4 linked regions of the Arabidopsis thaliana genome follow. The protein of the gene in region 3 interacts with the protein of the main gene of each other region in a pairwise test. Each region holds a gene or a part of one and is shown on either strand. Other genes may lie near its edges. The genes, in order: AT1G16170, NHL3, AT5G11870 and AT2G27290.

Region 1 (8,008 bases), on a different chromosome or scaffold from region 3:
TGTGAATCAGTAATTGCTGCCCACAAGGATAGTTGTCTTTGCTTTGTGAATCTTCAATATTCTTCTTCACCGCCATTATCTTCAAAGCAAAGTAGAAAAATTCCAGGATATAACCATGTAAGAACTCATAGACAAATACACTCACTCAACCCATCCATTTCATCGGAAAAAAAAAAACTCAAAATTCTAAATCTAGCATTTCTAGAAAGCTGTTCAACAAGTCACATGTTTCATAACCCAGATTGGTATAGCAGCATCTCTCATCTTCAGAAGATATCTAAATCTACTGATTTCCTAATACAGTATTACACGTAGGTACGGACCAAGGAAGCGGAAAAGGAGAAGGACTAACCGTGTCGGTGGGAAGAACCCTAATCTCAAAATGGCTACCCTTGAGAGTCTTAACAGTGAGCTTCATGTCGACGAATGAGACTAGAAGATATAACCGGCGGCGTCAGCAAAGTCCGGCGAGGGAGCGAAAAATAGAGAGTGACCTAAAAGAGCTTTTTGATTTTCAATCACTGTACAACAATGCCGACTTTATCAAACAGTCGCTGTCAACAACATAGCGTTTTAAAACGCGGCAAGAGCTCCACGTGCATCGCACGTGACACACCCTTCTTTCTAAAATTTACCCGGATAAAACATTAATCAATCCAGTGCAATTTTTTTAATTTCCGGTTTACTACCTTACCAGTATAATAATCATAACAATGATCGGTACGTTTAACATATGATAATTTAATCAGAATTCATTCATACCAGCCTTGCGCCACCGTTTTGACCAAACAAAACACAAACGCGAATCGGGCAAAACGCAATTGTGGAGAAGTCGAGACAGATGAAAATTACGAGAAAGGAATTTATTTATATCATCTTCATATTACAGAAGGGCCAACAAAGGCCATTCGTGATTAAGCACACGATGTTCTATTATAGTAGAAAGATCGAATATTTTTTTACAAATTGAAGATTCATGAAAAGTTATTCAGAATCTCAAGTAGATGCATTAGCTCAGAACTCACGGTCGGGGAAGAGAATGGGAGCAACAAGGGACCAGATGAAGAGACCAGCAGTGGCCCAGCTGGTCACAACACGGACCCACACTGAAGGCCACCCGACATCCACCAGCTTACCACTTTCACCAACTGAAGTTGACCAGCCGGTTAGGAGCATTGCAGAGTACATGCTCGCAAGGGAGAAGATGATGTGGAAGAATGCGTATGAGTATGAAACTGGTTTTTTATTCTCTTTCTCTTCCTTCTCTTCTGCTTTCCCGTCTATCGGAAGCAGAGGCTTCTCTGAAAATTTTCATTGAAAGGAAATACGTTATGATACTTAGAAGCAACTCTCAAACACTCACACAACAAGGTTTCAATATAGGGATTTAGAATATATGTTTCAGTTCAGGTTTGATTCGAGTTTCCGAATGAATCCTTATCTTGCAATATAAGGAGGCAAAGTATAGGAGAAGGTTTTTTTTGTCAGAAACATACCTGCGCGAGGAGAATCAGGAGGGGAGAGAAGAGTAGTGGAAGAACCAGCACGAACAGCAGAATAAACAACCGAGAGAACAGTTGTGAGTAAGCCAATGGTCATTGTGCCTGTTGAAACAGCTTTAGAGTGATTGTGGAGACCATTGCACTCGTAATCCCGGGGTTCACTTGCAAGTCCACTGTAACAGAGGTACATGCAGTACAGAGATATAACCGATGCTGGTAAAATGCTTCCACCGACCTGCAAAAGAATAGGTTAATTTGACTTCAGTGAGCCTGAAATTGGGAATCAAATAAGATCTCAGATAAGAGAAATATAAGGTTTCAGTCAAAACTTACAGTAGGATGCAAAACTACAATGGCAAAGACGAATACAAATATCAAAGTCATGATAATGAAGAAGGTGTTGAGTCCACAATCATGTCCAGATGGAGTAAACCAGTGGAAGAGAAACCCAGAGAAGACGAATGTTGCCAAGTAACATACAAGAGAAACAACGAGCAAAGCAGCATACCTATATATAAAAGTCAAGTACTTAGATTAGTAGTGGGATAATGAAGTCACATGATTTAATTGCAAATATATTTACTAACCAGAACTGCTCGTCGTAGCCAACCCATGTGTCATTCCATCCATGAACAAAATCCAAAAGAAGTACAACTTGAACAAGCAGGAAAAATCCAGCACCAAACTTTGACATCGACTCTGCAAGATGTAAAATTGATTCCCATTAGTTCCAAGTTAATCGATTCACTAATCACTTTGCAATGATAAACAGAAACTTACCATAGAAACTGATGATTTCATTTGGAAGGAAGAACATAAAGATGACTAAAATGCACCAACAGATTATTTTCATCATCCAACCACCATGGTGTATACCATCACGAGGGTCTTTCTGATTTTTCACACCGATCATCATAACCGATAGAATAGAGAAAAACAAGAAATTCCCTAAGCTGACACGCAACACAGCATCAGTCTCAAACCATTCACGATCAGGTGTCTTGTGAAAATGGTTAATCCCTGCACACAATGTCAATGATTAGTTGCATACACCAAAATAATCTCACGAGAAGTATAATAACAAAAAAACTTACAAGGGAGCTTCTCCATGAGAGGAGCAGCAACTTCACGGAGAATCCATGAAACGATTAAGGAAAGTGCAAAGAGACCACAGTAAGCAATTCTAGCAGAACGTCTGCTGATCCCAGAAACCACAGTACGGCAAGCATCGCAGGCACAAGCAGCACAACACGATGCGAGACAAGAAGCTGCAAACATCTTCTTTCTCCTCTCAGATTAAAGGTTGGATTCAATATTCAGCTGCTAGTATCAACCAAAACGCAAACACAAATCATCAAAACACAAATCATCAAACAAACAAAAAAAACTAATTTCGGATGGAGACGGTAAGAAAAGCAGCTTTTTAAAGACCGAATCGAAAATTAATCAATTTTGCTCAGAGATAAACAGAATTATTTGGAATCAATTGAAATTGGTTAAAATAAGCTGAAATTTATCCCCAAATTCGAGATGAAATCATAGCTCCCGATCTAAAGCTTCACCCGAGAAACCTAGCTTTAGGGATTGAATTTGACCTCTGGAACAAAAGAAGGAAAACGAAAATCGCTTGAGAAAGAGAGAATCAAAATACCTTGCGATCGATCAAAAACCTTGAGCTATCCTCTCCTTGAAAAGTAAAACAACTCGTTGTTTCTTTATTATCTCGCTCCTGATTTCGGACTTTTGACCAACTTACAAAGGAACTAGTAAACCATCAATACCAAGTTTTCATGTTTGGCCCACTAATGGCCCAAATTATTTTAATTTCTCCTTCTGTTTATCATGCATGGGCTTTTGATTAAGATAGACCTCTACTAAAACCTTGCAAGTCTCCTTACAAAGAAAAAGAAAAAAGTTATAAAAAAAAAACTCTAGGCTATTGGGGGTAAATAGTTTTGGTTTGGATGCTAAATGCTAACCGGCTAAAGTGATTCACGGCAACGGCAACTCAGTCTATTAGGATTTCAGTGCAACTAAAACAATGTATTTTAGACTTTTAGTTTAGTTGGAAGCAAACCAAAATATTGAACACCTCATACTGTCATACAAATACAATATACAAAAGTACTAAACATTATCGTGATTACTAGAACATGAGTTGTCTTCTCGTTAATGATTAAAAAAGTTTATCTTAATACGTATTCGTAAATGCCCTCTGGAAGCTGCAAGAGTCAGATCATAGTCCTAGGTAAATGTCATCACTCATCATCGGATTCTAACAACATGCCCATCATCTTCAAAACACAAAGGAGTGGAAGCTAACAAACAACGCATCATCATTTTTTTGTCCTCTTTATATATCTTCTTTCCTATTTTTTATCTTTTTATTGTTTTGTATATAAAATCCCTAAATTCCCGTTTTATGTAACGGACATAATAAGCCGCGTACGGCGTATCCGGCAAATCGGCCCAGCTCGAGCCATCATCAATCTACGGAGGAGATCCATCTCTCTCTCTCTCTCCATATCGCAACAACACTGCTGAAGATTTCGGGGGTTGTCGACGGAGCTGGAATCTAGCTTTTTCTTCTCCAGATCTCTAAACCGATTCTCACCGGTTCGTTTTCTAATAATCTTTCACCTACTTCGGATCTGTTTCCCTCGATTATCCAATGTGCATCGATCGCGAGTTGTTGTTGTTGTGTATTGTGATTGATGATTGATTGAGAATGACGTTATTGTTGGCAATTTGTTGCTTTCATTTTCATCTTTCGTATACGATCCAAGCTCTTTTGTAATTATAATTATGACTAATGTCGTTTCCACAACCAATCAAAACAGCGATATGTGTCTCGAATTCTTGTTTCTCATTGACATTTATGATGGTTTATGATGGAAAAGTGATCTCCCAAATGTTACATTCAATCTGATTGTGATGATCTCCTTTTCATAGCATGTTTATGTTTCTTGTAAAATTGTGTTAAAACGACTTGTGTGTCAATTTTTGCAGGTTAATTGGTATTATAAAGCCATGGTTCTTGATGGGCTTGTATCTTCACCGTCAAGGAGACAACAATGTCTAAAGAAGCAGTGGGACGAGTTGGGTAGCTGGTCGACTCTTATTCAGAGGCATCAATATCTCTTAACAGCTTTGGCTCTTTTGGCTTTCCTCTGTACTGTTTATCTTTACTTTGCAGTCACTTTAGGCGCTAGGCACTCGTCCTGCTATGGCTTGACCGGGAAAGACAAGGCAATGTGTCAATTACAACTTGTTCAAGCTCTCTCCAAAGGGAAACTTAAATTCTTCTAGACTGTTTATCTATCGGTGAAAGTTTGAAACCCCCACATTTATTGTTCTTGTACTAAAACATTCTTTTTCTTCTTTATTCTATAATGCAATTTGTGTGTATTATTACATGGTGAAATAAAACCAGAGATTCATAATTGAAAGATAACTTTATTTCATCAGATGAGATGAGAGTATACATGTGCACTGTTTTGAGTCGGATCGTCACCTCCGGTTGTATGTCAAGCCTCTATTAGGCGCTCTTATTAGAGCTCATGCGTTTCTGTATATTTGGGAATTCTTACCAGCGGAATGATGATAGCAGCGGGATATAACTTCTACTACCTACACAGGTCGAGACTCTGAAACTGAAACCATAATGCTTGAAGTCAAACATTTTCTGACACATCGTTGACTCCTAGACAAGTAAGTTTTTCCAGTCATCAAATAATACATTCAAGTCACACCAAAAGTCCACACTTCATTTTCAAAAGTACATGTTAACTTCGAATTTCAAATACACTTTGTGGCTAAAGATGGATGACTTGCTGCCGAGTGATCTTATTGATTTTCTTGTCACCATATACATTACATAAAGGCTGAAATATTCTTGTACACGCTTCCAGAATCATTCTCTGCTGATCTCCATGACTTGGTCCTCTTCATCATCATTTTCAATATGGGCCTCTAAATCTTCAGGTGATGAACGGATCCTCTCCAGCTCGAGTGAAGCCTCTCTCATGTTTGGTCTTTTAATCCCTTTCCGGCTAAGACACTTTCGAGCGAGTTTCGCCACTGCCATCAGTTGGTCAAGCTTGCTTTCTTCTTTGATCCGAATATCAATGATGTCAATCACTCTGTTTTCTTTCATGGCCTCGAGGAAATGAGTTGCCAACCCCCTTCCTTCCTCAGAACGAATTCGGGACAACGGTTTTTCTCCAGTTATGAGCTCTACCAGGACAACCCCGAAACTATAAACATCGCTCTTGTCAGTATATTGGCTTGATAGGAAGTACTCTGGATCCATGTACCCAAAAGTTCCTGCAACCATTGTTGTCAGGTGAGTTTGATCAATGGTTACCGATCTTGATGTTCCGAAATCAGAAACCTTAGCTCCGTATTTTTCATCCAATAGGATATTGGTAGTCTTGATATCTCTGTGGTATATTGGAAATGATGCAGCTGAGTGCATGTATGTTAGAGCTCCCGCGATCTCTATGGCTATGCGAAGACGCACTTCCCAAGTCATCGCATAATCGTCGGATTCATCATGAAGGCGCTTGAACATATCTCCATTGGGAATATATTCGTAAACCAAGATCGGAACCTCTGTTTCCAAGCAACATCCTATTAGTTTCACAATATTCCTATGGTTAATCTGTGAAAGAAGGATGATCTCATTGATGAACTTTTCGAGCTTATCTTCATCGACAACTTTTGATCTTTTAACCGCAATGATCTTGCCATCCACCATCATCCCCTTATACACAGTTCCTTGACTGCCTTTCCCAAGCACCCTCTTCACGCTAAAGTTATCGGTGGCTTTCTTCAACTCTTCTGAGCTAAATAGCCTTGACATGTCTACATTACCGTCATTTGTAGTAGTTAGTTGTTGTTTTAACAACAAGCCTCCATTACGTTTGAAGAACTTCCTGCTACTGATGATCCTCCTTCTCTTTTTTATAAATATAATCAACCCAAGCGTCCCAACAACTAAGAACAATAGTCCCATTAAACCTAAAAGAACCCCTGCAATAACAAGAAAAAACATAAATAACACTGTTTTCTGCTCTACCTTAAAGGATGGTAGATGCAAGGTGCCATTGGAACTCACCTTGTAGCACGAGGGGTTTGGCCGGCTTGATTATCTTGGGCTTGGGATCGCATCTATAGCCTCCAGGCACGTTCACACAAGTGCCTTCTTCACAGATATTAGGTCCTTTGCAATCATCATTGTCTGCATATATATCAATTATCAGTATTAATGATCTGATTTATTCTCAACGAAAAAAGAAGAGGAAACAAACACTTACCAATGCAACCTCCTCTAAGGTATGGATTCCCTGTGAAGCCAAGGGAGCAATAGCAGTTCCTATAACTCATTTCGGAAAAGTAACCATACTCGCAAAGGCAACTATCACCGGATAAGTAAGATCCCGAATATGTCAGATTTATACAACCCAAGGGGTTCCTAAAGCGTGAATCCGTAGTAGCAAAGTACCAACCTAGCTCTACCACCACGTAGCCACCAGCATGGAACTGTTCTGGTATAGTAACATTTGACGGGGAATACCTCTTGCTAGACAAGAAGGCAACCTTGCATCCATCTCCTCCTGAGCTCTCTATATTGACACCTACTGCTTGTGGACGTTCCACCGGTATCCTCGCCTGGCAACATTTGTAACCGTCACATAACAAGTTTGTTACTTCTTGACTACTCTTGCTATCTTTGCAGCTAGATTCACAACCCAAGATCTCTGATTCTATATCCGTCATCAACGCCTTAGTACCGCAACCCACAGCCACGAGGCGGTTCTCGTCGGTGATGAAATATGGGCTGCCCTTGCCCGTGACGTTTAAATCCGGTAGCGACTTTTGGGGTACTTGACTAGTATTACTTGAACAACCTAACGAAGTCACAGGACCTTTGATGTGAACCACTCCGTATTGTTCATTATTACCTTCTGGAAGAGAGATGTTCACCACTTCCCTGTTGATTCTCGACAGGAATGGAACAGTTGTGCCGGACGACCCGGAAGTGGTGGCGTTGCAGACAACCTCGTACCAACCGTTGAGATAACAATCCTTCCCACCGATTCCAAATGGGAACGGAATCGAGATTCCTCCACAGGTTCTGTTACACGAAGTTGAAGAATTCTTACTGTTTGGAGGTGGCGGTGGTGTTGCTGCTGATGAGCCATTCATGAGCTGCAGAGTTAAGACAGAAGCTACAAGACATACAAACCGGTAAGTTTTAGTCTTCATAATTCTTGTATTTTTACTTTGGTCCTTGATCTGATCAATCTCAATCAGCTTTTCTACATGTTAAGGACCTGCCCGATCTGATGTTAAGGTAAAAGTCAATAGAGGTTTAGAAAGAAGCGTGAAGCAAGTTACAAAGCACCTAAAAATTAGTAAACACTACTAAGACTATGGTCAATGTCAATGCCTGAGGGATTATAATTTAAGTTAATGATTGAACGTTGAATATACAAATCCAA
Region 2 (7,318 bases), 1.9 Mb from region 3:
TTATCTTTTTATATCTTTTCTACAAGTACTTTTATCTTTATATACACTTCTTCTATATAAAGGTCACGGAGAGTATTTTAAGATTCTCACTTTCTCTCTACCACCAAACCTCCCACACCACCGTCACCGGAGCTATGACCTCAAAAGACTGTGGCTCTCACGACAGCCACTCATCATGCAACCGTAAAATAGTGATCTGGACGATATCAATAATCCTCCTCTTAATCCTTGTCGTAATTCTCCTAGTTTGGGCAATCCTTCAACCATCGAAACCACGCTTCGTCCTCCAAGACGCCACCGTCTTCAACTTCAACGTCTCCGGCAATCCACCGAACCTCCTCACCTCAAATTTCCAATTCACTCTCTCCTCTCGTAACCCTAACGACAAGATCGGTATCTACTACGACCGTCTTGACGTCTACGCTTCTTACCGGAGCCAACAGATCACTTTGCCGAGTCCCATGCTTACCACTTATCAAGGACACAAAGAAGTCAACGTTTGGTCTCCTTTCGTCGGTGGATACTCCGTTCCTGTGGCTCCGTACAACGCTTTCTATCTCGATCAGGACCATTCAAGTGGCGCGATCATGTTGATGCTTCATCTCGACGGTCGAGTTCGTTGGAAAGTCGGATCCTTCATCACCGGAAAATATCATCTCCACGTTAGATGTCATGCGCTTATCAACTTCGGGAGTAGTGCTGCCGGAGTTATCGTCGGAAAGTACATGCTCACCGAAACTTGTAGTGTTAGTGTTTGACAAATTAAGAGGTACTTAACGGTGACGGTGGTATCGGTCACGGATTTTTTCATTATTAATAACGTAATATATTTTATATATAATCTCGTAGTAGTTAAGTTTTATAACTTTTTTTTTCCTACGTCATAGAGAAATAATATCAAGAATTGCAATCGGTTGCGTTATTGTTATGACGAGCTGTAAAAGATTCAAAGGAAACACTAAAATATAGTAAAAGACAAAAAAAAAGGTTTATTTTTATTTCAGTTGGTAACAATTTATGATGGATGATTCAATTAAAAACTGTTTTCTATATAATGATAATAATGTATATTCTCTTGTTTCATTGACTATGATTTTGTGCTGATCCAGAGTGACGACAATTGAATTTTAGAAATATCTGATCGGAACGGTAACCATTTGTACGGTGTCATTATCTATAGTATCTTGTCTTTTTTTCTTTTTCTAAAACAGAATCAAGACCCATTCTCATATAGTTTTTCAATTTCCCATTAAAGTTTAGATCTTAAAGTTGGCTCTTTACAACAGTTCAGTACATTCAAAGGAAAAACTCTTGATCAAATCTATATTCCTAATATATTGGTTAGTTTGTCTCCTAAATATTCTTGGATCTTGAAATGATAAAAAGTAGAATCATGTTGCTTATTTTACAAGAAATAGGGTATTTTTCTCCAACGTTCGAATCCCACGAATATTCTATATTATGTATTTTTTGGGTTAATAATGAAGTCATCTTATAACCAACTGCTTCGACTAATTTTGCCTCTTTTGTTAAGAGATTTGTAGGCGTAATTCTCAATCTGGAATCCACTTTCTCCAAGAGAGAAAACTTGCGAAATGATTCATTACATGTGCTATTGTTATTATATTCGATATGTATATGTATTTCAGAAAGAAGTCCAATGTGAGAACATTCAAAATGTACATAAGAGCGAGGTCCAATTTGAGCATAACGTACGCAATTTGTTCGTTAGATTCGTCACCAACAAATATTTGATGTGTTTGTGAACGATTTTTTATGCAATTTTTTAATCTTAGTCCCATTTATCTACTAACTCCCACGTGTTTTGTTTCCTTTGTACATATACACGCTGCCGAATCCAGTTTGTATATAAACATAATTTTAATTGAAAATCTTCGAAACATTGTACTGAAAATTTGCCATACGTAATCTAGGTAATTGATCAGCATGATGAGAAACTTTACGCCCATCAATCCATGAATATACAATCCTAGTTTGGAACCGAAGTTATACTGTAAAAAAGCAGATGATAAAAACACACAATTGTCTACATAACCTTCCCTTTTTGCCTTTTTGAAGTCATACATTTTATTAAGCGTGTAAATGATCAAGACTTGAATATATACATAAAGATTCGATTTTGTTCATCTAGAGAAATTCATAACCAAAACATAGAATAAACATTCATAACCAAAGGATAACGTAAGTAAAATGAATCATGGAGTTGTATCATTGGTCCACTGGTTAACACGATACAGTTTCGACTTTCGAGTCGTATTGTATTCCAGATTTTAACAATGATTAACAACACAAAATTATGGTGACAACCACCAAATTAGAATTAGTAATAGATTACATGAAAAGTATACCCTATATGTTACTTCCTTAGATATATGTCCATTTAAACTTTAGTGGACATCTATTCAACGCAATTTCTCAATAATTTATTCGGATGAATATCGGAATTGAGTAGATAGGGATCGGTCGTCGGTTCCTCCATTTTCAAAACCCTAAGAACAACCAAAGTCTTCATCATTTATTTGTCCAATTCCAATGATCTATTTCGTCCAAACGGCTAAGATTGAAGGAGTCTTCGTGAAATATTTGTTGTCTAATTTAGTTTAATGTTTTATCACCACACACATTGACACCGCATTAAACTCTAACAAGTTTTTCAAACACGTTTGTTCATCACCAGGTTTTTCTTTAAAATTATTGTGTATTACTTATCATATACAATGAAAATTATTGTTATACCGTATAACACATAAAAATTTCTTAAACTACATTGACTACTTTAATAAATAAATAAAACACATTACATCTCATATTATAAGAATACTTTTTTTAGTTGTTACATTTGTTTTTATAAATCCTCCATAGTTGTTTTAAAGTTTAATATGATTGAGTTGCGATCTAGTATTATTATTCTTTATTAAATATGCTTGACCTTTCTCATTGAAGAAAGATGTAAACATTTGAAAGCATGGCTTCACCTAATCTTCCTTTCAATTACAGGTCACATCATCCAACTCTAAACACCAACCTCCCTTAGTTTTCCTTGCTTTTAGCATTATAACATTAACAAGTCTTTGCAATGTTTAATTTTCTTTGAATTTGAGAAATCTTTCACATTAAACATTTTCATTAATTGATAATTAATTAAATAACCTTTATCAGTAGAACTGTTCTCATAGTTATAAAATAAACATTTGGAAAACCCCACCTCAGTTTCAACTTGCAACCTATAGATCAAAGTTATTTCATTTCATCATGTTATATATATAATGTCGAAATTCTTGACCGGGACTGGTTTGTCTTTTTCTAACTTTGTATAGGCTTATTGATATTTTGGCCACATTTTCTATTTTTGTTCTCAAAAGTCTTTCGTCAAGTTTAAGAAACAATGGCTATATTAGAGCAGTCGCTTTTGGGGAAGTTTCTCGGAAGCTTAGTTACATTGTAAAAATGACTATTCACAATTCACAAACTAACTACCGCACTAAGTATCATCACATTCTCACATGTCTTATATAATAAAAGAATATATAAATAAATATCTACATATGGATATTCTTGTATGCGATCGGCACTAACCTCATTAATCACCAAATCATGTATATATGGATTCAAGAAATAATCTCATTAAGCTTAACCAAAGTATACATAGTCAAATTGAAGAAGAAACCATATAGTAAAATTTAAGAAACAATCTTTAATGTATATCAAACTGTTAATCCTAAATATCTAATAACAATCTCGCAAGTAACCTCTACTTAAATCAAATTTTCATCGAACAATATTAAACCGACGCGTCACCTTTGACTTTGAAAAAACAAAACCGCGTCAAATTAAATCGTTTTATCTAATACACGTTATCTCTACAGTGTATATATATTACGGCCTCTTCTTCTTCACTTCAAATCATATTTACTTTTTCAAAATCTTATCACAAACCAAAAAAAACTTTCTTTCAAAATCGTTCTCTGAGGCATTTTAACGAACAGATGGCGGACTTAAACGGTGCGTATTACGGACCATCGATTCCACCGCCGAAGAAAGTCTCTCACAGCCACGGCAGACGCGGCGGTGGATGCGGTTGTTTAGGTGACTGTCTTGGCTGCTGCGGCTGCTGTATCTTAAGCGTCATCTTCAACATCCTCATAACCATAGCCGTCTTATTAGGCATAGCTGCTCTAATCATCTGGCTCATTTTCAGACCCAACGCTATCAAATTCCACGTCACCGACGCTAAACTCACCGAATTCACACTCGACCCAACCAACAACCTCCGATACAATCTCGATCTCAATTTCACAATCCGTAACCCTAACCGCCGGATCGGTGTTTACTATGATGAAATCGAAGTCAGAGGATACTACGGTGATCAGCGATTCGGTATGAGTAACAACATCTCGAAGTTTTACCAGGGACATAAGAACACGACGGTGGTTGGAACTAAACTCGTGGGACAGCAATTGGTGCTGCTTGACGGCGGAGAGAGGAAGGATTTGAACGAGGATGTGAATTCTCAGATCTATAGGATCGATGCCAAGCTGAGACTTAAGATTAGGTTTAAGTTTGGGTTGATCAAGTCGTGGAGGTTCAAGCCCAAGATCAAGTGCGATCTCAAGGTTCCTCTTACCTCTAATTCAACCAGCGGGTTTGTTTTTCAGCCGACCAAGTGTGACGTTGACTTTTGATTGCTAGTCAAGAGTCAATGCTATTATAGTCTTCTTCGAGTTCATCATATTACACTTGTTTATTGATTCTTATTTTAGATTGTTTTGCTTTATTATCTTCCATACATATCGTTGGAGAGAGATATTTTTCTTATGTAATGTTTTATTGTATGGTTCCATGTAAATAAATAATCACATTTTGTTTAATGCTAATAACTATACAATTAGCATTATGATTGTCTCATGAAGCATTGATCCAAGTATCAAAAATGCGGAATCTTCTGCTTTCCCACTGATCCATTTTGTGTTTGTAGAATGAGAACAAGCAACATTGTACCCATGGAGGATTTCTTGGCACTTTCTCCATCTCTTCACCTCCCAACAATCTATTCAGCTTCTTGACTAGAGCCTCTTCATCAGATTCGTCACACCCGAAAAACTTTTCCTGTAAAAAGATATACAGATATAAGTATTAGACAATCCTTCAATGAACACTAATAATTAATCGTGTTTTACTTACCCCTTCATCAGCATATAGAGAAGCATGGATTCTGGCGGTTGCATCTTCTAGTATAGCTACCAATTTGATATTTCCGTTGATATCACGGAGTTTTCTGACGTCTCGGGGATACACTTGTATGAACCGAACAACACACCTGAATTTAGCAGTCACCTGCATAATAAGCATCAGTAAAACATCAATTCAAGAAAGTTTTCACTATACTCTTTTCCTACAACTTATGATAAATCCAAGGTTTTTGGATACATTACATTGTGATAGGTCAGGATGTCCATCAGAGAAACAAATGGAGCATCGTCATGGGCAACCCCTAGAAAAGATTAAACCATAAGTATTATATTAAACGTTATGTCAAATTTCCACAATTCCAAACAATTAGCTGGTTATTACCTGTGATTTCAGAATGTGAACGACTAATGCAACGCGCGATTGGGTTCCATCTCGGTGAAAACTTCTCCCCACACATTCTGAAATGGTAAGAAAGTGTGTTTTAAACTGAAGAACAAACGGACGAAGCAGAACATCAACTCACAGGATAAGAAAAGGTGTCAGCAGAAACCTTTGAGGACTAAAGGCTTCCATCTCTCTGCTCATTGTGTACTGCATCTTTGTAGAGGGAGTAAAAGTGGCGTTCCATAATCCCATATTTACTTGAAAGAAAAGGTTCAGAAGCTTCACGTGTTGACCAGGTTGAAGACAGTGAATGGCCTGCTTCTCACTAACTCTATCTACTATGATCCTCAAAACGGAACCAAAAGTAGGAAACTTACGTAACATGTATGTAGGCAACATCTCGGGTTCTACACATAAAGGAAGCCTTTCTGACCTATTATGATTGCAAACAAAAACAGAGTGAGATGAGTAACACGTTTGGGATATATGACCAAAATCTAGTAAATGAATATAAGACGCATAAGAGAAACTTATTTTTACTCGTTGTATTTTGGTTGAGGAAATTCAGACTTACTTAACCAAGATGTTGCAGGGTGGCATCTCAGTTCCATCCCAAACAAAGAGGTACCATCTATCTTTATAGACCTTGGAAATGTGAACAATCTTCAAAGGAAACAAACAATGAGAAACAATGTCAAAGACATAGCAGACCATAAAAGACACTTACAGTTCCATAAATACAAATGAACATGAAAAGTAAAACCAAAACATATTCTTTTAAGGAATGATCAATCTACCTGGCAAGATAGGTTTGAACATTCGCCTTCTTTGATATCTTTCAGGGATGTGAAACAGCATGACCCTATCATAAAACAAAACAAAACAAAACCTCACAACAATCGCAACTTACCACCAAGACATAGAACACATTAGAGATAAAGTACGAAGCAAACATTTGCATATAGAGATTTCAGTGAATAAGTAGAATTCATTAGAAATGATATTGCATCATAATTACCATCTTCAAACTTGTACGTGATCATCCATTCTCTCAGATTCGATAAGAAGTTCTTATCCTGTTCTCTCATCAGGAATTTAGGTGAGGACTGGTAAGGTATAGAATCCACGCTATGTTTCCCATTGAATAAAGCAAAAGACGAAGAGGTTGTTTCATTGCAGAGAGCTGTGATTTTCCGGTTAATCAGCACAATCTGAGTTTAAACCCAGAAGAAAACTGTTTAACAACAAAATCAGCAAAAGCCACGAAGAATTGATCTTCTCATATCAGAGGAATAGTGTGTCAACCTTTACACGTGAAAGTAAGATGATATCTCCGATCGATTCAACACGAGGAAGGTCTCGAATGGTACGAGCGACGAACTTAACGGGAAGGCCAGATCCCGAATACCATGGATCAACGATTTTGAGCGTACATGAACAATCTGCGACAAATTTCGAGCAGTCGGAAGTATGAAAAAACGAAGCTATGATGAAATGAAATAGCAAAAAAGGATTTTGGGAGAGGATCACGATACCAGAGCCATTGGAGAATCCTAGCTCAACGATGACTCCAATGAGGTTAACATGAAGATGCAATGCTTTGAAAGCGTCTTGAATTCTCAGGAATTTGTAGTCATCTCTTCTCTCCTCCTCCATGTCTCTGATCGTTGGGGTTTTGCAAGGGTTTGAAGGAAATCGACAACGGCGATGGATGCGATGACTC
Region 3 (8,413 bases):
TTTACATTATCCTCTGAATATCCGCATAATACGAACAAATAGAAGTATTGGTAGGTGATGAGAAATGGCAAATTTTTATAGATAGGGCTAGATTTCCATGACTGCTTTAGGTGACCCCTTAAGCATCAAGATTATTACAACACACAACTAACACAACCGAACAAAACAAACACTAGCAGAAACTATCCCCCAAGGACAAAAACCATATCCAAAAGAAGTTAAAATCGACTTTGTTCTTTCTTCTTTTAACCATCGGTTCGACTATAACCACCGGTTCGATATTGTCGGATATCTAAAACCGGACCCGACAGGAACTACTCTTAAACTTGTTGACTTTTTTTTTCTAAACCCTTCAGTGTTACTGTAACAGTCGCACACCTAACAAAAATCCTCCAGCCATGGCGGCAGTTACTCAATTTCTCTCCCAACCTTCATCAATCCGCGGAACCCTAAATCAGTACCAATTGAATCAGACTTCACTCTCAAGAATCCCATTTTTGTCTCTCAAGTCAACATTGAAGCCACTTAAACGCCTCTCCGTCAAAGCCGCCGTTTCCCAAAACTCCACCAAAACCCTCACGAAAGAATCTGCTTCCTCTTTCGACCACTGTTTCAAGAAATCATCAGATGGGTTTCTCTATTGCGAAGGAACCAAGGTTCAAGATATCATGGAAACAGTCGAGAAACGACCCTTTTACTTATATAGCAAACCTCAGATCACGAGAAACCTTGAGGCTTATAAAGAGGCTTTGGAAGGAGTGAGATCTGTTATTGGTTACGCTATTAAAGCTAATAACAATCTCAAGATTTTGGAGCATTTGAGGAGTTTGGGCTGTGGTGCTGTGTTGGTTAGTGGAAATGAGCTCAGGCTTGCTCTTCTTGCTGGTTTCGATCCCACAAAGTACGATTCTTTATCCCCAATAATAAAGTTTGAATATTTTTTTATTTGGTCTCATGTTGATGTGTAGTTTTTGACCATGTCTTCGGTGTGGATGAAATGAATAGGTGTATTTTCAATGGAAATGGAAAGTCTTTGGAAGATTTAGTTCTAGCTGCTCAAGAAGGTGTTTTCGTAAATGTTGATAGTGAGTTTGACTTGAATAACATTGTGGAAGCTTCAAGAATTTCTGGTAAGCAGGTCAATGTGTTGTTGCGTATCAATCCTGATGTTGATCCTCAGGTATGGTTAAATTTTCAATCTTTTAGCAGCATGTCCTAGAATCTATTCTTTAGCTTGGATATGAATGAGCTTTTTCTGTTTGTTACCATTTTAGGTGCATCCATATGTAGCTACTGGGAACAAGAACTCGAAGTTTGGTATTAGGAACGAGAAGCTTCAATGGTTTCTGGATGAAGTGAAGGCACATCCCAAAGAGCTGAAGCTTGTTGGAGCTCATTGTCATCTTGGTTCTACCATTACAAAGGTAACTCCGACTATAGTTCCTTTTAATTTGTGTTTTAATGTAATCAATCTCTTAAATTTTAACTCTTGAGTCTTGAGCTTTGCATATTCACGTATGTTCTGTTTATTTCAGGTGGATATATTCAGAGATGCTGCGGTTCTCATGATTGAATACATTGATGAAATCCGGCGTCAAGGCTTTGAGGTTAGCTACTTGAACATTGGTGGTGGTTTAGGGATAGATTATTATCATGCCGGCGCTGTCCTTCCTACACCCATGGATCTTATCAACACCGTAAGAACAACAGCTCAAAACTCTTTTCTTTATCTTGATCTCAAAAGTACTGGAATGGTAGAATCTTTAGAATCCTGGATGTGTTTCATAGGTAAGAGAGCTGGTTCTTTCACGAGACCTGAATCTAATAATCGAGCCAGGGAGATCACTGATTGCAAACACATGTTGTTTCGTCAACCATGTAACTGGTGTGAAGACGAATGGAACTAAAAACTTCATAGTGATTGATGGAAGTATGGCTGAGCTTATCCGTCCCAGTCTTTATGATGCCTATCAGGTAAAACAAATATACTTTTCACAACAGCATCTGCAGATTCTAGTCCCTTTGAACTATAGCTAAACATCCTCTTGTTTTTGTTTTTTAACGCAAAAGCATATTGAGTTGGTCTCTCCTACACCGCCTGAAGCAGAGGTTACCAAATTCGATGTAGTGGGTCCTGTTTGTGAATCTGCTGATTTCTTGGGCAAAGACAGAGAGCTTCCCACTCCTCCACAGGTATTATAAGGATCTGATTATGTTTGGCAGCTCAAGTAATATGGAATCTAATTAGTTTCTTGTATACGTTACAGGGAGCTGGTCTGGTGGTTCATGACGCTGGTGCATACTGTATGAGTATGGCTTCCACTTACAATCTCAAGATGCGTCCCCCGGAATACTGGGTAACAATACTGTTTCTTATTATCGTTTTCTGCGGAAATTTAGCGGAGGGTCAAGATCCTGAGAGAAAGTGATTGATTTATATTCTTCTTTTTGCAGGTTGAAGAAGATGGGTCGATCACTAAGATCAGGCATGCTGAGACATTCGATGACCATTTACGTTTCTTTGAAGGACTATGAACTCCGAGATTTACTCATCATTGTTGCTATTTTAGATGAATTGTATGATTACGTTTCTATAATGCTATTGCTGTCTTGGATTTTTCCACATTCTGTGCTATGATTTAAAGTCCTCAATAAAGTGATCATATGAATAAGAAACAGGTCACAAGTCAAGACCGAAAATAAAAGGTGTATTTGTGAGTTATGATTATTCTTTTGGTTTCTTTTTAGTTACTACATGTAAAATTGTCCATTGTCCAAACACATATATAAGACTTGAATAAGTAACCTTAAAGCCAAAGCTGTTTCAGAACCAGAAACCAAGATTACACCAAGCTAACGATGTTTTAGTGGGATCATGGGTCAAAATCTATCTAGCAACCAAACAAAATTTGTAATACAAGAATCCAGAAGCATCTAAATACAAGAGAAAAAAAACTTGAGGAGTCAGTAATGAATGTCAAGGACGGCCTTTGAGATCACCTAATCTGTTTTAGTTTCCATCATACAAAAGAAAAGTGAAAAATCCTCTCAGGTTTCAAGGAACTCAAAGATCAAAGAGAAAGAGTCAGTGAAAAAACGTTACCTATTAAACCGAATGCTTCTATACAAAAGCATAATGGTAAGTAAAAGCGTAGCCACGGCAGAACACAAATGCTCCAGTGAATGCCCACTGATGATATATCGATTTGCATTGTATATTTTGTTGTCTGCAAGTCCTTCAATCTTGGCAATAGTGTACGCCGCTGCATTCATGATAAGCAGATATCAGAAGACCGTGGATTCTAATAAGAAAACCGCAAATGTGGTTTTGAGTTAAAAACCTGTTGCCCAGAGCCAGAATCTAGAGTGTGTATATTTGGGAGGTAACAAAACCGCCATGACGGGAATCACCAGACACGGTATCAACTGGAACGTCATGCATAACCGGAGATCATTAAACACTCTGCCATCAACTAAGACACATATAATTTCAATCCGAAACCTGACTAAAACCATGAACATATATGTATACAGAGGAGGTAATGCTTTCTTGGTTTTAATGTTACCTGGCGTAAGCAACACTGAGACATGATATAAATAGAAGCAAGATGAGGCAACTAAGTCCCACTTTCTCCCCCGCTCTCTCAACCAAAAAACTAGAGAAAAGCGACGAATACGCAATCAATATCTGCAATTTACCGTCATTAATCAACAAACAGCTATTCATAAACCAACCATCAAAAATGATGAGCAAAAACAACTTTCCATTCAATAAAACCAAAAACCACAACTCTACACCCGAAAAATCTCTAAAGCTTCTTTCCATTAGCTATAAGAGTTGTGTTCACTTCACTATGTGCTTGTAGAACCAACCAATCCAAGAAAAACCATGAAGTCTAATCTAAGCTTTTTTACATAGCTATAAGATGATTCTTCAACTTTTTGTATTCACAATGTGCTTGTCAATATATACAATTACCGCATCACTAATCAAGAAGCAATGAATGCATAACTGAAAGAAGATTCATGTTCCGAAGAAAAGTAAAGTGAGAAAAACGAACAGGCAAAGTGTCCCAGACGATTCTGTTGTCATCAGGTTTGAGATGATAAAAAGCAGAACCAAAAGCCAAGCTTGCAATGCCTGCGTAGAACAGTGTCCATCCCCAGATCTCACCATTTAAACTGCATTACAACAACTCAAATTGTTAAACTAACTCAAAATAAAACTCAAAAAAGGGAAAGAGAATGATACCTTATGTTGAAGAAGCTTCCTCCAATGCAAAGAACAAAACCAAGAACTCCAACGATAAGAAAGGGAAAGTTGGTCATCACATTCAATGTATTAGGCACTCCTGTTCATCATCAAACCCACACAAAACACCTGTCTCTCGTTATTACACATGCACAGAGACAGAGAGAGATAAAAAAAAAAGAAGAGAGAGTGTGATATGATGATGATACCCATGAAATTGCGTTTATCGGCGAAGATATGATGGCGAAATGAATCGAGAGGAACTTTGGGAGTGATGAACATGATGATTGACCAACAGAGGAACGATCCCACAACCAAAATTCGTTTCCTTTTCCATCTCCCTATCTGTTGATTCGTCAACCACACCATTAAAAGTTCTCTCTATAAAGGTGAAGACTTTAAAGGTTTGTATTGTTTGAAGTGGATAAATCAGTTATCTCTGTTGTGTCTGATTGATTAATCTTCTTCCAGTTTAAGAAAGAAAAGGGAAGACAGATTTATTGAGAGTCGCTTTTTTCGATTAGAACAACGTGCGGCGGAATCTCTTTTTTTCTTTTTCCTTGAGTCTGACGGGTACGACGACGACGATCGATCTCTAATGTTGTCGTAGTTGACGAGGACCGCTCTAAACGTCTACGTTTTGTTTCTATTCTATTTTATTTGTAAAGTAACCCCTTACATTTTTATATCTTATATATATCCCACCCCATGTTTCTGAAAGTAATATTTTCACTCCTATATATATGTACAACGTTTCAAAACTTGGCGGGAGTGGTTTTAGTTAACTGTTTCCTGGTTAGTGTTTCTAGGAGAAGGAAAAGTTAACTAAGAAAATTGCTAAATTATATATCCTTGATGTGTTGTTGTAGTTCTTAGAAGTAACCCACATAGATAGCCATGTATGAAACAAAAACAAAAATGGGATTAACATGAGACAAAGTTCAAAAGAGAATGAACTAAGAGTCTAAATGCTCTTTATGCTACAAAGTATTCAAGAAAACGAAAGAGTATAAGAGAAAGATGGGGAAGAAGATGAAACAATCATATGTATTCTCAAATTACAAACATATATTCTAAAGCTCAAATTGGGAACGTAAATATATCAATGTTGTTTTAAGCCATCATGTCCTCTCTGAATCATCCATTGTGCCATGCTTGAATACAAGTTTGATGTTGTTCATTTCTTTGAATAATATTGGCAGGTTGAGTGTTTTTCAGTTTGTGTTGGATCAAATTGTCTTTTATTTGGATTTCGTCGTAAACATAATCAGCAGAACACGTCATTCATGTCATACCTCTTAATCTTTTATGTGTTTGGTAATAAATCTGCATAATCATGACATGAAACAACATTCCACAATTCTATATAGCATTCTAGCTATAACCAATGAAAAATAGATCATCCTATATATAGTAGTACTAAACAAAGATTATTCTAAACCAACTTAACTTGTAACATCAAATCTAATCAAGTCACATAATCTTGTATAATTTCATTTTTCAAAGAAAATATTCAAAAGTCTTCAAAACGTTTTTTTTATTCCAATAATCCATAACATGCATGTTCAATTTGTAAAAAACAGAAGGTTCCTTTTTAAGAAAAAGACACTTCTCTAGTTCTCTACGGCATCGTTGTACTATCCTCCAACCGGAGATGACGTCATCATTTACCGGCCTAATACTCTTCGAATGTTTGGGGTTTAGTTTAACAAATCAAAAACTATCGAGGTTACTAATGAAATATTAATAAAGTATGAGGGCATTTAAATGAAATATTTCATTGCTTATGTAGACTATAGTCGTCTGTCATTCATTTCGAGCAAATATTTTACTCTTTTATTTCGAAGAGAGAGAGAGAAGAAGACGGAAGCTAGAAGAAATCGTTTTTGATCGGAGGTACTTTTTTCCGACGAATATACTCTCTCTAGGGTTTTCTTTTTTCTCTCTCTCCCTCTCCGTTTCTTCTTCTTAGCTCTTCAATCTCAGCTCGAATTTCTGGGCTACTGAAGTTTAATCTAGGTGTGCGCTTCGTTGAAGAAATTTTGAAATTTGCAGAGAAATTTGCGGAGAAAGCGGAAAGATTAGATTTATCCATCGTTTATCCCAGTAAAAAGCTTTGATTTTTCCACATGTCTTTTTTCCCCCCTTTTTTCGTATTAAAAGCCCTAGATATATATATCAAAATTGAAAATTATCTGAAATCGATTTCGTGGGTTTCAGTTCCGGTTCGGTTCTCTTTCTTAAAATATTGATTTCTGTCACTTTCCGCGATGAAAAGTTTTCGAATTTTGCTTCTTTTGGCTCCAAAGTTTTTATCTTTCAAATATTTTAAATCTGGGTACTTTTTTGTTTTGGTTCCTTCTTTGTGAATTGTATCTAGGGCTTTGCTCCTTTTCTAATCCAAGATCTGTTTTCGTTCTCAGATAGTGTATGAGCTAGTTGTTTGTAATTTGACGGCTCTCGGGAACTGATCTATCTCCGGTGTCTCTGCTTTGTCGGTAGCTACAGGAGTGAAGAGAGTTTCTACAAGGTAAATTTGAAAACTTTATCATTGAACCTTGTACTTGTAGATTTATAGTAGTGTTTGGGTATGAATGTGAATAATGGTCAGATATTGAAATTGTGGAGTAGTTGCATTAGGCTCTGAGTTCTGTTGTCTAATTCAGTTACAAGTTGATGTTAATAGGGTTTTAATGGAAGATGATGACTCTCCTTCTTCTCGGGATTTGGATGCACAGAACCCTTATGATCGATTGCTTGCTCTAGATACAAGTACCGTAGATCCAAATTGTAACTTGGATTCGGTTTCTGCCATTTATCTAGCGATGAAGAGCTCTAAGCTGGAATGTGTTGACGAGCGTGGTCAAGATTCCCTTATTACTTCGGTATGCATGGAGGATGAAGAGGATGAGGAGCTCGATGAGTTTGATCCTTATCTGTTTATCAAGAACTTGCCGAACCTGTCTTCTGTTGTCCCAACTTTCAGGCCGGTCTTGCTTCCTAAACAAACCCGAAGCTGTCCTCCTATTTCTCTTGTCCTAGACCTTGATGGTAAGGCTACTTTTCAGTTGATTCGTTTGTTTAAAATTGTATCTCTCTTTGCAGGTTTTAATGGCACACAAATCTTAGTTTTTTCTCACCAGGTTTTAAGGCTACTATAACATATATGTTTTATTTTGCAGAAACTCTTGTGCACTCGACTCTAGAGCCGTGTGGTGAGGTAGATTTCACATTCCCAGTGAATTTTAATGAAGAAGAGCATATGGTGTATGTGCGATGCCGTCCTCACCTCAAAGAGTTTATGGAGAGAGTGTCCCGACTTTTTGAGATCATTATATTTACAGCTAGCCAAAGTATTTATGCTGAGCAACTTCTGAACGTGCTTGACCCTAAGAGAAAGCTCTTTCGCCATAGAGTGTACCGTGACTCGTGTGTTTTCTTTGATGGTAACTACCTCAAGGATTTGTCAGTCCTCGGGCGTGATTTATCTCGTGTTATCATTGTTGATAACTCCCCACAGGTATTATACTCTTATTATCCTTCTACACAGTGAGTAAACACGTTTAGTTCTCCATTCTTATGCTTTATACCTAAACCGATCGATAGATGCTTTTATCAGCTATAATTGTAGGATACACTTCTAGTATAGGAAAACTATAATAACTATGAAAGGTAGTATGGGCGAATCCAGTAGAAGTTCTTTGTTTGCAAAAGCTATCTCATTGGTTTTGTAGGGTTGATGAAAAGAAGTTGATTCCAGAACCGCCATTAAGAATTCTCTAAGCTCGATCTAAGGCTGTTGCACAATCTCATTGGTGTTTTTCTTTTTCTGCAATGTTTTAGGCATTTGGTTTCCAAGTGGAAAATGGAGTGCCAATAGAGAGCTGGTTTAATGACCCATCAGATAAAGAACTCCTTCACTTGCTGCCATTTCTTGAAAGCCTAATTGGAGTTGAAGATGTAAGGCCAATGATCGCCAAGAAATTCAATCTAAGGGAGAAGATTGATGCAGCTGTAGCCGCACCTGAATATCCTGCTGAGGCGGGAGATCCTTTCGAAAGGTAAAGTCTATCGCCAAAACACTTTTAAAGGAAGAATCTGGCACAAGAGCAGAGGTTGGAGAAGATATATAAGTATATCAATGTTGTTTTCTTATTAGTT
Region 4 (8,089 bases), on a different chromosome or scaffold from region 3:
ATTGTTTCCGTTTGTTGCGAACGTGTGTGGGCTTAGGGCCCAATTCAGTTTGTTAGATTAGTAGGGGTTCTTTTCCGGCAGATTAGTGGGTTAGGGATTTATAGACTTGATGGTTTGGGTGAAGAAAAAACACAAATCAGTTTTTATGTTAACCAAACGGCAATATCCACAGGCAAACACACAACACATCTCATATTCATTGCCTGGATTGCAACTATGAGTATAGGTATGATCAAAATTTTGTAACCGCATTTCGAACCGTAACCAGACTGTTACTAAATCTGGTTAAAAACTGTAACCGATAACTGAAAAACAAATTAGTTACTATTAAAAAAAATACTAACCGTTAATTATTAGTAACTGTATCAAAATCGTTGGATAATCGTTGTAATTGTGTATATGCAAAGACAAAATATAGTTGTAATCGTGTATATGCAAAGACAAATATCGAATGTTTGGATAAAAATTGTCAAAAAGGTAAATAATAGATATGAAAAAATCTAAGCTAGAAAATAATAAGATTTTTTCTCAAACAAATATGTTGGAATGCTACATTGCTTGATATGAAGAAAATTTGGTGTACAATATACTTTTTCATCTTATTAAAAGCAATACAATATTTTGGGTAATTCTTAAGATTTCGCCTTCAATATTAACTATATTGTAATCATCAAATAACAATAACCATATATAATCATAATTGTTGTAACCGTAATCATTTTAATCATAGATAGTGGTTAAAGTTAAGGTTAAAAAATTTTATAACTGTAACTGATGGTTAATAAACCGTACCCGTAATAACCGTAACCATAATCATCTTACGTGAACACTAAAATTTATATCCATCACGTTTAGATTAATCACCCATCTTTCGAAGCAAATAAGTTCCAATATGAGCTTAGAGGACATAAAACTAGTTTAGAGAAAGTTACACGGATACAAATTTGGATATATAGTTTAGTTAGGATATGATTTTATTGATTTTATTATATATTTTAAAAATAACTAAAACGTTAATGATGACGTAAGCTAATAAAGTAATAGATTAGAAATTGCAATAAAAAAATATAATGTATTTAATAAAATAGATTCATCGACAAAAAAATAATAAAATAGATTCATATAAAACTTGTATTACACAAAAGAAAATATCTTGGCGCAAGATAATAAAATAATTACAAAGTGATTTAAATTCATTTTGATTGCCGTCAAAAACAAAAATTCATTTTGATAAGTTATTACACCCAAAAAAACAAAAACAAAAACTTATTGGCATGCGGGGTACAAACACCGAGGAAGATATCGAAACACGTGTTTAAAAATGAAGAGACGATTTATTAAGCATCAATGAGAGAACTTCAGAGCTGGGTTTGAGTTCTGTCCAATAATACATAACCACGTTATCATTTTTGTCCTTTACTATCTCATTACACTCTTCTGTTATTCGCCCAATTCTTACAGTCATTGTCCACGTCATCCTTTTTCCCTCTGAAGCCGCCAAATATCAAAAAACACAAAACCTTTACCCGAAGCAAAGTAGCTGCACACTTGCCATTTATAAGGCATGTTTCTTCATCTAAAGCAAAGTATTTTCGAGTTCCTGAGCCAAAAAGATCAAACAATGTCTAAAGAAGCTGAGATGTCGATCGCGGTGTCGGCTTTGTTCCCTGGTTTTAGATTCTCTCCTACTGATGTTGAACTTATCTCGTACTATCTTCGTCGTAAAATCGATGGTGATGAGAACTCTGTTGCTGTGATTGCTGAGGTCGAGATTTACAAGTTCGAGCCGTGGGACTTGCCAGGTTTTACTTCGGTTTTCTTTCTCTTTATGTTTACTTTGGTTCACTAATTTGAATGTTTGTGCCTATAAAACAGAGGAATCGAAACTGAAATCGGAGAACGAGTGGTTTTACTTCTGCGCGAGGGGGAGGAAGTACCCGCACGGGTCACAAAGCCGGCGAGCCACACAGCTAGGATATTGGAAAGCGACCGGTAAAGAGCGGAGTGTTAAATCCGGGAACCAAGTTGTTGGAACCAAGAGAACGCTTGTATTTCATATCGGTCGGGCTCCTCGTGGCGAGAGAACGGAGTGGATTATGCATGAATACTGCATCCATGGAGCCCCACAGGTTCTTAAAACTTTCATTTTGAATAGGTTGAGTTTTAATGTTTTGAGATATATTGAAATTTGGATTTCACAGGATGCATTAGTGGTGTGCCGGTTAAGAAAAAATGCTGATTTTCGGGCTAGTTCGACCCAAAAAATGGAGGATGGTGTTGTGCAAGACGATGGCTACGTTGGCCAAAGAGGTGGTTTGGAGAAGGAGGACAAATCCTACTATGAATCTGAGCATCAGATACCAAATGGTGACATCGCAGAATCATCAAATGTTGTTGAGGTCAGCTTGCTTTTGAGGAATGTGTCTTTTAACGATGTTTAATACTGGTAAAATTATCCGCTCCAATCTTAATCGAAACCACATTAAATTCAATATAGTTCCGAAAACAGAACCGATTAAGAAACTAAAACCAAACCAACACCATAGTACCATACTATAACGGATTCATAGTACATTAGATTTCACTAAAGTTGTTATTTTACTAAAGCAGATTCTAAACTTAAAACGTAACAAACCAATATATCCAATGTTTGGTTTTTATTTTGGCTACTAATATTATAACTCAATAGACTAAACCAACACTTGGGCTGAACATCCTTAGTTTTCTTGTACTGGTAGAGTTTAGAGTTTGTAACTGAAGTTGATCTCTTTCTATTGCGATGCAGGATCAGGCCGATACCGATGATGATTGTTACGCCGAGATTCTGAACGATGATATAATAAAGCTCGACGAAGAAGCGTTGAAAGCTAGCCAAGCGTTTCGACCAACTAATCCAACTCATCAAGAAACAATATCAAGCGAGTCATCGAGTAAGAGGTCAAAATGTGGTATAAAAAAAGAATCAACGGAAACAATGAATTGTTACGCTTTGTTCAGGATCAAGAACGTTGCCGGAACCGACTCCAGCTGGAGATTCCCGAACCCGTTCAAAATCAAGAAAGATGATAGCCAGAGATTGATGAAGAATGTTCTGGCCACTACTGTTTTCTTGGCTATCTTATTTTCTTTCTTTTGGACTGTATTAATAGCTAGGAACTAAAGCTAGTTACGACATACATATTATTTATACATAAATAAATATAGTATTTGGTCTATGGCAATATGGCATGTTGAGCTAGTCTTAACAATTATTCAAACTTGTGTACAAACCAAAATTTTTATGGAAAAGAGAATATTTTCGGATAGTAAACCTTTATAATCTGGGTGAAAGCTTTGGGAAAGAGATGATAGTTCCGTGAAAATAGAGACAACAAATTTCACATATAGTAAATGTGAATAATACCACCATTTCCTTAAGTTTTGCTGTTTGTTGTATTAGAGATTGCAAAGTGATATTCTTAGTTATATACAATTGTAATAAATTATACAAAATCCATAAGTAAAATAAATTATTTTAGACTATGTTTAGATATACAAAAGTTTCAGTTCAAAATATAAACGCCTGAGAATCAAACAAATGTTGTTTGTAGTTTTTTATATTTATAAAATAGTCTAAAAATATTTTTCTTACTTATGGATTTTTTATACTATATTAAAGTTTTATATATGTAAAAGATTACTCTGGAACCTCTAATACAACAAATGGTATACCTTCAGAAAAAAATAAAAAATAATTGTGTGTCATACAATAAATAAAAATAATAAGGTGAAAAGATTTGCTTTCTGTTTTTTTTGGTGGCTGAAAAAAACAATGGCGATGATGCTTCTGCAAATTCCTCCTTCGTCTTCCTTGTTGAACACCAGAAACCTTCAAATCCGATTCTTCCACTCTTCAGTTTCAGCTTCCTCGAAGAAATTCAGATGCAGAGCCGTCCGTGAGAAGGCGGAGGACATTGATAAGAACATTTCGCCGCCGTCTTCTTCTCCTCCTCCTCCTTCCGCCGAAGAAGTTACCAAGAAATATGGCCTTGAAGTTGGTCTATGGAAGGTAAAATCAATTCGATTGCGCAATTTCTCGTTTTAATTCGTAATCTAAAATTGATGATTCTATCGCTATGGAAGCTTTAAGTGTAAGTAAAATAGTGTTTTTGGATGAACATGTGAGGACATATGATTGTTTCTGAGCTGAATGATAGGCTAATTCAGAGCAATTTTGGTATTAGTAGAAGCTATTGAAGCTTTAAGTGTAACTAAAATGGTGTTTTGTATGATTATGTGAGCAATTTTGTAGTTGTTGAAGCTATGGAAGCTTCTAAGGGTACTAAAATGGTGTTTAGATGATTATGTGAGTAGATATGATCGTTTTCGTGGTAGTTGTAGAAGTTATGTAAGCTTTTAACTATGCTAAAATGGTGTTTTTTTTTATCAACAAGTGAGCATATGTGATTGGTTAGTTTGGAGCATTTTTGGAAGTTGTAGAATCTATGGAAGTTTTTGTGTAGTAAAATGGTGTTTTGGATGGACTTGTGATTAGATATTAAGCTCTAAGGATGATGAAGGAAGTGATGGAGACAATAAGAAGAAGAAATCAAAAACAGATGAGGCTAAAGAGTTACTTGCAAAGTATGGTGGTGCTTATCTCGCTACATCTATTACTCTTTCTCTCATTTCCTTCTCACTCTGCTATGTCCTTGTGACTTCCGGTGTTGATGTTCAAGCTCTTCTTCTAAAGGTTACTACTTTCACTTCTTGATCATACTAAGTTTATGTTTTCTTGATCTTGGGTTGAGTAAAGCTGATTTTGATGTTTTGTGTTTAAGGTTGGGATTTCGACGAATGAGACAGGAGAGAAAGTAGGAGCCTTTGCTTTGGCTTACGCAGCGCATAAAGCTGCATCTCCGATAAGGTTTCCGCCTACAGTGGCTTTGACTCCTATTGTAGCCAATTGGATTGGGAAGAAAGTGGACAAGGAGAAGGATGATGACAAGTAGCTTACTTTGGAGGTATTATAATGTAGATGTTCTATATATTACTTGATAATCAACATACATAATCCTGTACAATCCTCACTTCTCTACCTTGTATGTACAAAAAAGATTGAAGCATATCTGAATATGATGATGAGTTAGAAAGATACAGAACCAAAGAGTGGCAGAATCCAAGTTGTGATATAGTTTTAGACTTGTCTATTTAATATGTGGTTGGTTGGAAATTACGACTTCACGATTCACTAACCTCTAGACATTTGGTAAGTGGGAGAAGTAGTTGTCAAATGGTTGGGAATGATCTCTGTGATCCAGAGCATATGACCTCGATCGTTTTGGTGATGCATTTTAACTTGTACTCTAGAACCTCATTATCTCGGCCCATCAAAATATGAAAACATTGGGCCGTAACAATTGGGCCGTAATCATCTATACCATCTATAGTTAATTGGATCTTTTTATCTCCTCCCTTCCTCTTTCACTTTCTTCCATGGATTACTAAATTCCTTAATCCTGGGAAAATCACACCAATCAACTTTTGTGAATTGTAACCCTAATCGATTCTACAGCGAAATCTACCTATTTCATGCTTGGGTTTGATTAGTGTTTTTCCAGAATCTGGGACTTCGCAGGAATTGCGCTAATTTTCAATCGATTTTGCAGAAGTTTGTTGCTCCTGGAATAGAAATCGAAGATGAAGAAGTACGGATTGCAAATCAGAGCTCCTTCCCAGAAAAAACAATCATCATCTCGACCTCCACTTCGACCCGCTTCAATATTTGATGAAGAAGAAGATCACGACGTCGAGAAGGAGATTTCTCGTCAAGCAACAAAGACCAAAGCTCATAAAGAAGTAAGCTTTTTTCCTCCACTGACTCGAGTTCTTGTTTCTTATATTTCCTTCAATTTGATCTGCTTGATAAGTGATTGTGTGTTTTAGATTGAGGAGCAGCATAAGAAAGCCTTAGAGGAGGATCCTTCTGCTTTTTCATATGATGAAGTTTATGATGATATGAAACAGAAAGCTGTTCTTCCTCGAATGCAAGATCGTGAAGAACGCAAGGTAATGTTTATCTCTTAGAGAGCTTAAGACTTGAAGCTTCTGTAGCTTAGGGAATCAAAATCTATGTTTCCATGTTCTTAAGAGGAATCTATGATCTGTGTCGGGCTTGGTTTATCATATGATTGAAGTATAGGAAGCCATAACTTAGCTGGATTTTCTTATTACCCTTAGAAACCACCAAAATCTTGATATCCTGCAATACCCTAACAACTACCAGCCTATAACCCATGGCTACATATAGTTACCAAAAAGTGTAAAGCTTAGTTACTTTGTTTTAGTTAAGTAGAGGTGAAGTTTCTGAGCCTCTACATGCGTCAGTTTTAGTAGTTTCTTATGGTGTTACATTCTCTGTAGTTGGGGCACTTTAATTAGGTTTCAGAATGACTTATTGGATTGCTTATGTTTCATTTAGTTTTCTTTTTCTAATTGCAGCCAAGGTATATACAGAATTTGATGAAACAGGCAGAACGTAGAGAGAAAGAACATGAGATAGTTTATGAGAGAAAGCTTGCGAAAGAGAGGGAGAAAGACGAACATCTTTTTTCGGATAAAGAAAAGTTTGTTACTGGCGCTTATAAAAGGAAACTTGAGGAACAAAAGAAATGGCTGGCAGAAGAAAGATTGCGTGAACTTCGTGAGGAAAGAGATGATGTAAGTTCTGTTTCCTTGTTCATTTTATTTCATGTTTGTGTTTCTATCTCTCTCGTCTATTAAACTAGTACTTGCTAGGATAGCTGAAGTCCTATCTTTGTCCTTTTACGTTTCTGTCTTAAGTAGCTTTGGTTTGGGAACTGTGTCAAGGTAGTTTGCATGTGGTGGCTTTTAGGACATGATGGGTGGGTCTAGAAACCATTTTCATGTCTCTGTATTAGCAATGGGGAGATATATAGCATATAGCTTTGGTAAAATTAAAGTGATTTGTTTTTATAGCTATTAATACTCATGTCAGCTCTTTTCCTTTGTTTTCATCTTCTGTTAGGTTACTAAGAAGAAAGATTTGAGTGATTTCTACTTCAACATTGGAAAAAATGTCGCTTTTGGAGCTCGAGAAGTCGAAGCTAAAGAGGCAGAGAAGCTCGAGGAACAAAGAAAGGCAGAGAAGCTCGAGGAACAAAGAAAGGCAGAGAAGCTCGAGGAGCTGAGAAAAGAAGTAACAAGGGTAGAGAAGAAACGAAAATCACCGGAGAAGGAAGTATCTCCTGACTCGGGAGAATTTGGATCAAGTCGTAGCAAAAGTTTGGAGCCACTAGAAGCAGAGCAAGCAGTTTCTGAAAAGGAGATGGGTTCAGATGGCACTGAAGAGAGAAAGTCATCAATCAAAGAGGCAGCAAAAGAAGTGCCGAAAGCCATTAACGACCAGAAGAGAAGAGAGGATGCGATCGCTGCCGCTAAAGAGAGGTTCCTGGCCCGTAAGAAGGCAAAAATTGAAGAGTATGTGCAACTTGGCTGATTTCAGTCCAATAGTTAAATCTTGGTGAACTTGTCTTCTTCTGATTATCGACCACCCTCTTTTTTATAAGTAACTTTTCAAGATAACGCTTCTTATATTACAGGGTCTACTTCCATTACAAATGCAATAGGTTTGATGGTTAATAAAGAAGAGAACGAACAAAGAAAAATCCCCTACGTTGAGATGCACATTGTCAGGGTCAGTTTAAATGTCCTAGTGGATCAAATTGAATGGTATATAGGAAAAAGTAAAAGTTAGAAAATTGAGGAAAAAGGAAACTTTGAAAGCTAGAATTTGAGGAAAATGGAAACCTTAGAAATTGGGATTTGACAGAGAATTAAATGGAAAGACCCAAGCATTGTTTTTTAGCCACTGACGACCAAAGAAATTCATTCTGATTTTTTATTCCTGACTAGTGCAAAAAATCTATAGCTATAAACGAACCTATTGGCGATTGATTCTGAGATGGAGGAGGCGAGACTCTCGACGTTACCTTTTAGTGCAAGTTTTAATCCTTCAAACCCATTAGGGTTTTTAGAGAATGTCCTTGACTTTATTGGGAAAGAGAGTAACTTTCTGAGGAAAGACACG

What was found.
Region 1: the proteins of AT5G11870 (region 3) and AT1G16170 interact in a protein complementation assay, tested with the Arabidopsis thaliana proteins (one large-scale study listed by BioGRID).
Region 2: the proteins of AT5G11870 (region 3) and NHL3 interact in a protein complementation assay, tested with the Arabidopsis thaliana proteins (one large-scale study listed by BioGRID).
Region 4: the proteins of AT5G11870 (region 3) and AT2G27290 interact in a protein complementation assay, tested with the Arabidopsis thaliana proteins (one large-scale study listed by BioGRID).

Annotation. Positions count from the first base shown.
Region 1 is NC_003070.9:5,535,677-5,543,684, reverse strand, and holds AT1G16170 (ephrin-A3 protein), read left to right. Parts: upstream 1-3,682; 5' UTR 3,683-4,118; intron 4,119-4,511; 5' UTR 4,512-4,532; coding exon 4,533-4,811; 3' UTR 4,812-5,019; downstream 5,020-8,008. Other genes in the region: RAD23A (Rad23 UV excision repair protein family), read right to left, coding at 1-79, 353-418; AT1G16180 (Serinc-domain containing serine and sphingolipid biosynthesis protein), read right to left, coding at 1,015-1,301, 1,497-1,737, 1,836-2,010, 2,090-2,201, 2,283-2,522, 2,597-2,780; WAKL5 (wall associated kinase-like 5), read right to left, coding at 5,416-6,536, 6,622-6,744, 6,821-7,772.
Region 2 is NC_003076.8:1,928,401-1,935,718, reverse strand, and holds NHL3 (NDR1/HIN1-like 3), read left to right. Parts: upstream 1-3,950; 5' UTR 3,951-4,007; coding exon 4,008-4,703; 3' UTR 4,704-4,923; downstream 4,924-7,318. Other genes in the region: AT5G06330 (Late embryogenesis abundant (LEA) hydroxyproline-rich glycoprotein family), read left to right, coding at 135-758; AtPOT1b (Nucleic acid-binding, OB-fold-like protein), read right to left, coding at 4,924-5,127, 5,203-5,355, 5,454-5,512, 5,593-5,669, 5,762-6,028, 6,170-6,258, 6,393-6,457, 6,614-6,806 and 2 more. UniProt on the Arabidopsis thaliana protein: Confers resistance to Pseudomonas syringae pv. tomato DC3000 (Pst DC3000).
Region 3 is NC_003076.8:3,821,928-3,830,340, reverse strand, and holds AT5G11870 (Alkaline phytoceramidase (aPHC)), read right to left. Parts: upstream 4,922-8,413; 5' UTR 4,622-4,921; coding exon 4,462-4,621; intron 4,353-4,461; coding exon 4,253-4,352; intron 4,183-4,252; coding exon 4,062-4,182; intron 3,689-4,061; coding exon 3,567-3,688; intron 3,464-3,566; coding exon 3,342-3,463; intron 3,264-3,341; coding exon 3,104-3,263; coding exon of another isoform or gene 3,100-3,103; exon of another isoform or gene 3,006-3,099; coding exon 2,978-3,005; 3' UTR 2,768-2,977; downstream 1-2,767. Other genes in the region: AT5G11880 (Pyridoxal-dependent decarboxylase family protein), read left to right, coding at 399-901, 1,006-1,180, 1,275-1,424, 1,536-1,697, 1,789-1,974, 2,071-2,193, 2,268-2,357, 2,455-2,535; SSP5 (SCP1-like small phosphatase 5), read left to right, coding at 6,946-7,303, 7,435-7,772, 8,096-8,317.
Region 4 is NC_003071.7:11,675,488-11,683,576, reverse strand, and holds AT2G27290 (FAM210B-like protein, putative (DUF1279)), read left to right. Parts: upstream 1-3,657; 5' UTR 3,658-3,811; coding exon 3,812-4,048; intron 4,049-4,534; coding exon 4,535-4,732; intron 4,733-4,820; coding exon 4,821-4,991; 3' UTR 4,992-5,272; downstream 5,273-8,089. Other genes in the region: NTL8 (NTM1-like 8), read left to right, coding at 1,622-1,802, 1,876-2,129, 2,202-2,399, 2,786-3,160; AT2G27285 (nuclear speckle splicing regulatory-like protein (DUF2040)), read left to right, coding at 5,680-5,838, 5,926-6,048, 6,481-6,699, 7,028-7,498; AT2G27280 (coiled-coil protein (DUF2040)), read left to right, coding at 7,964-8,089.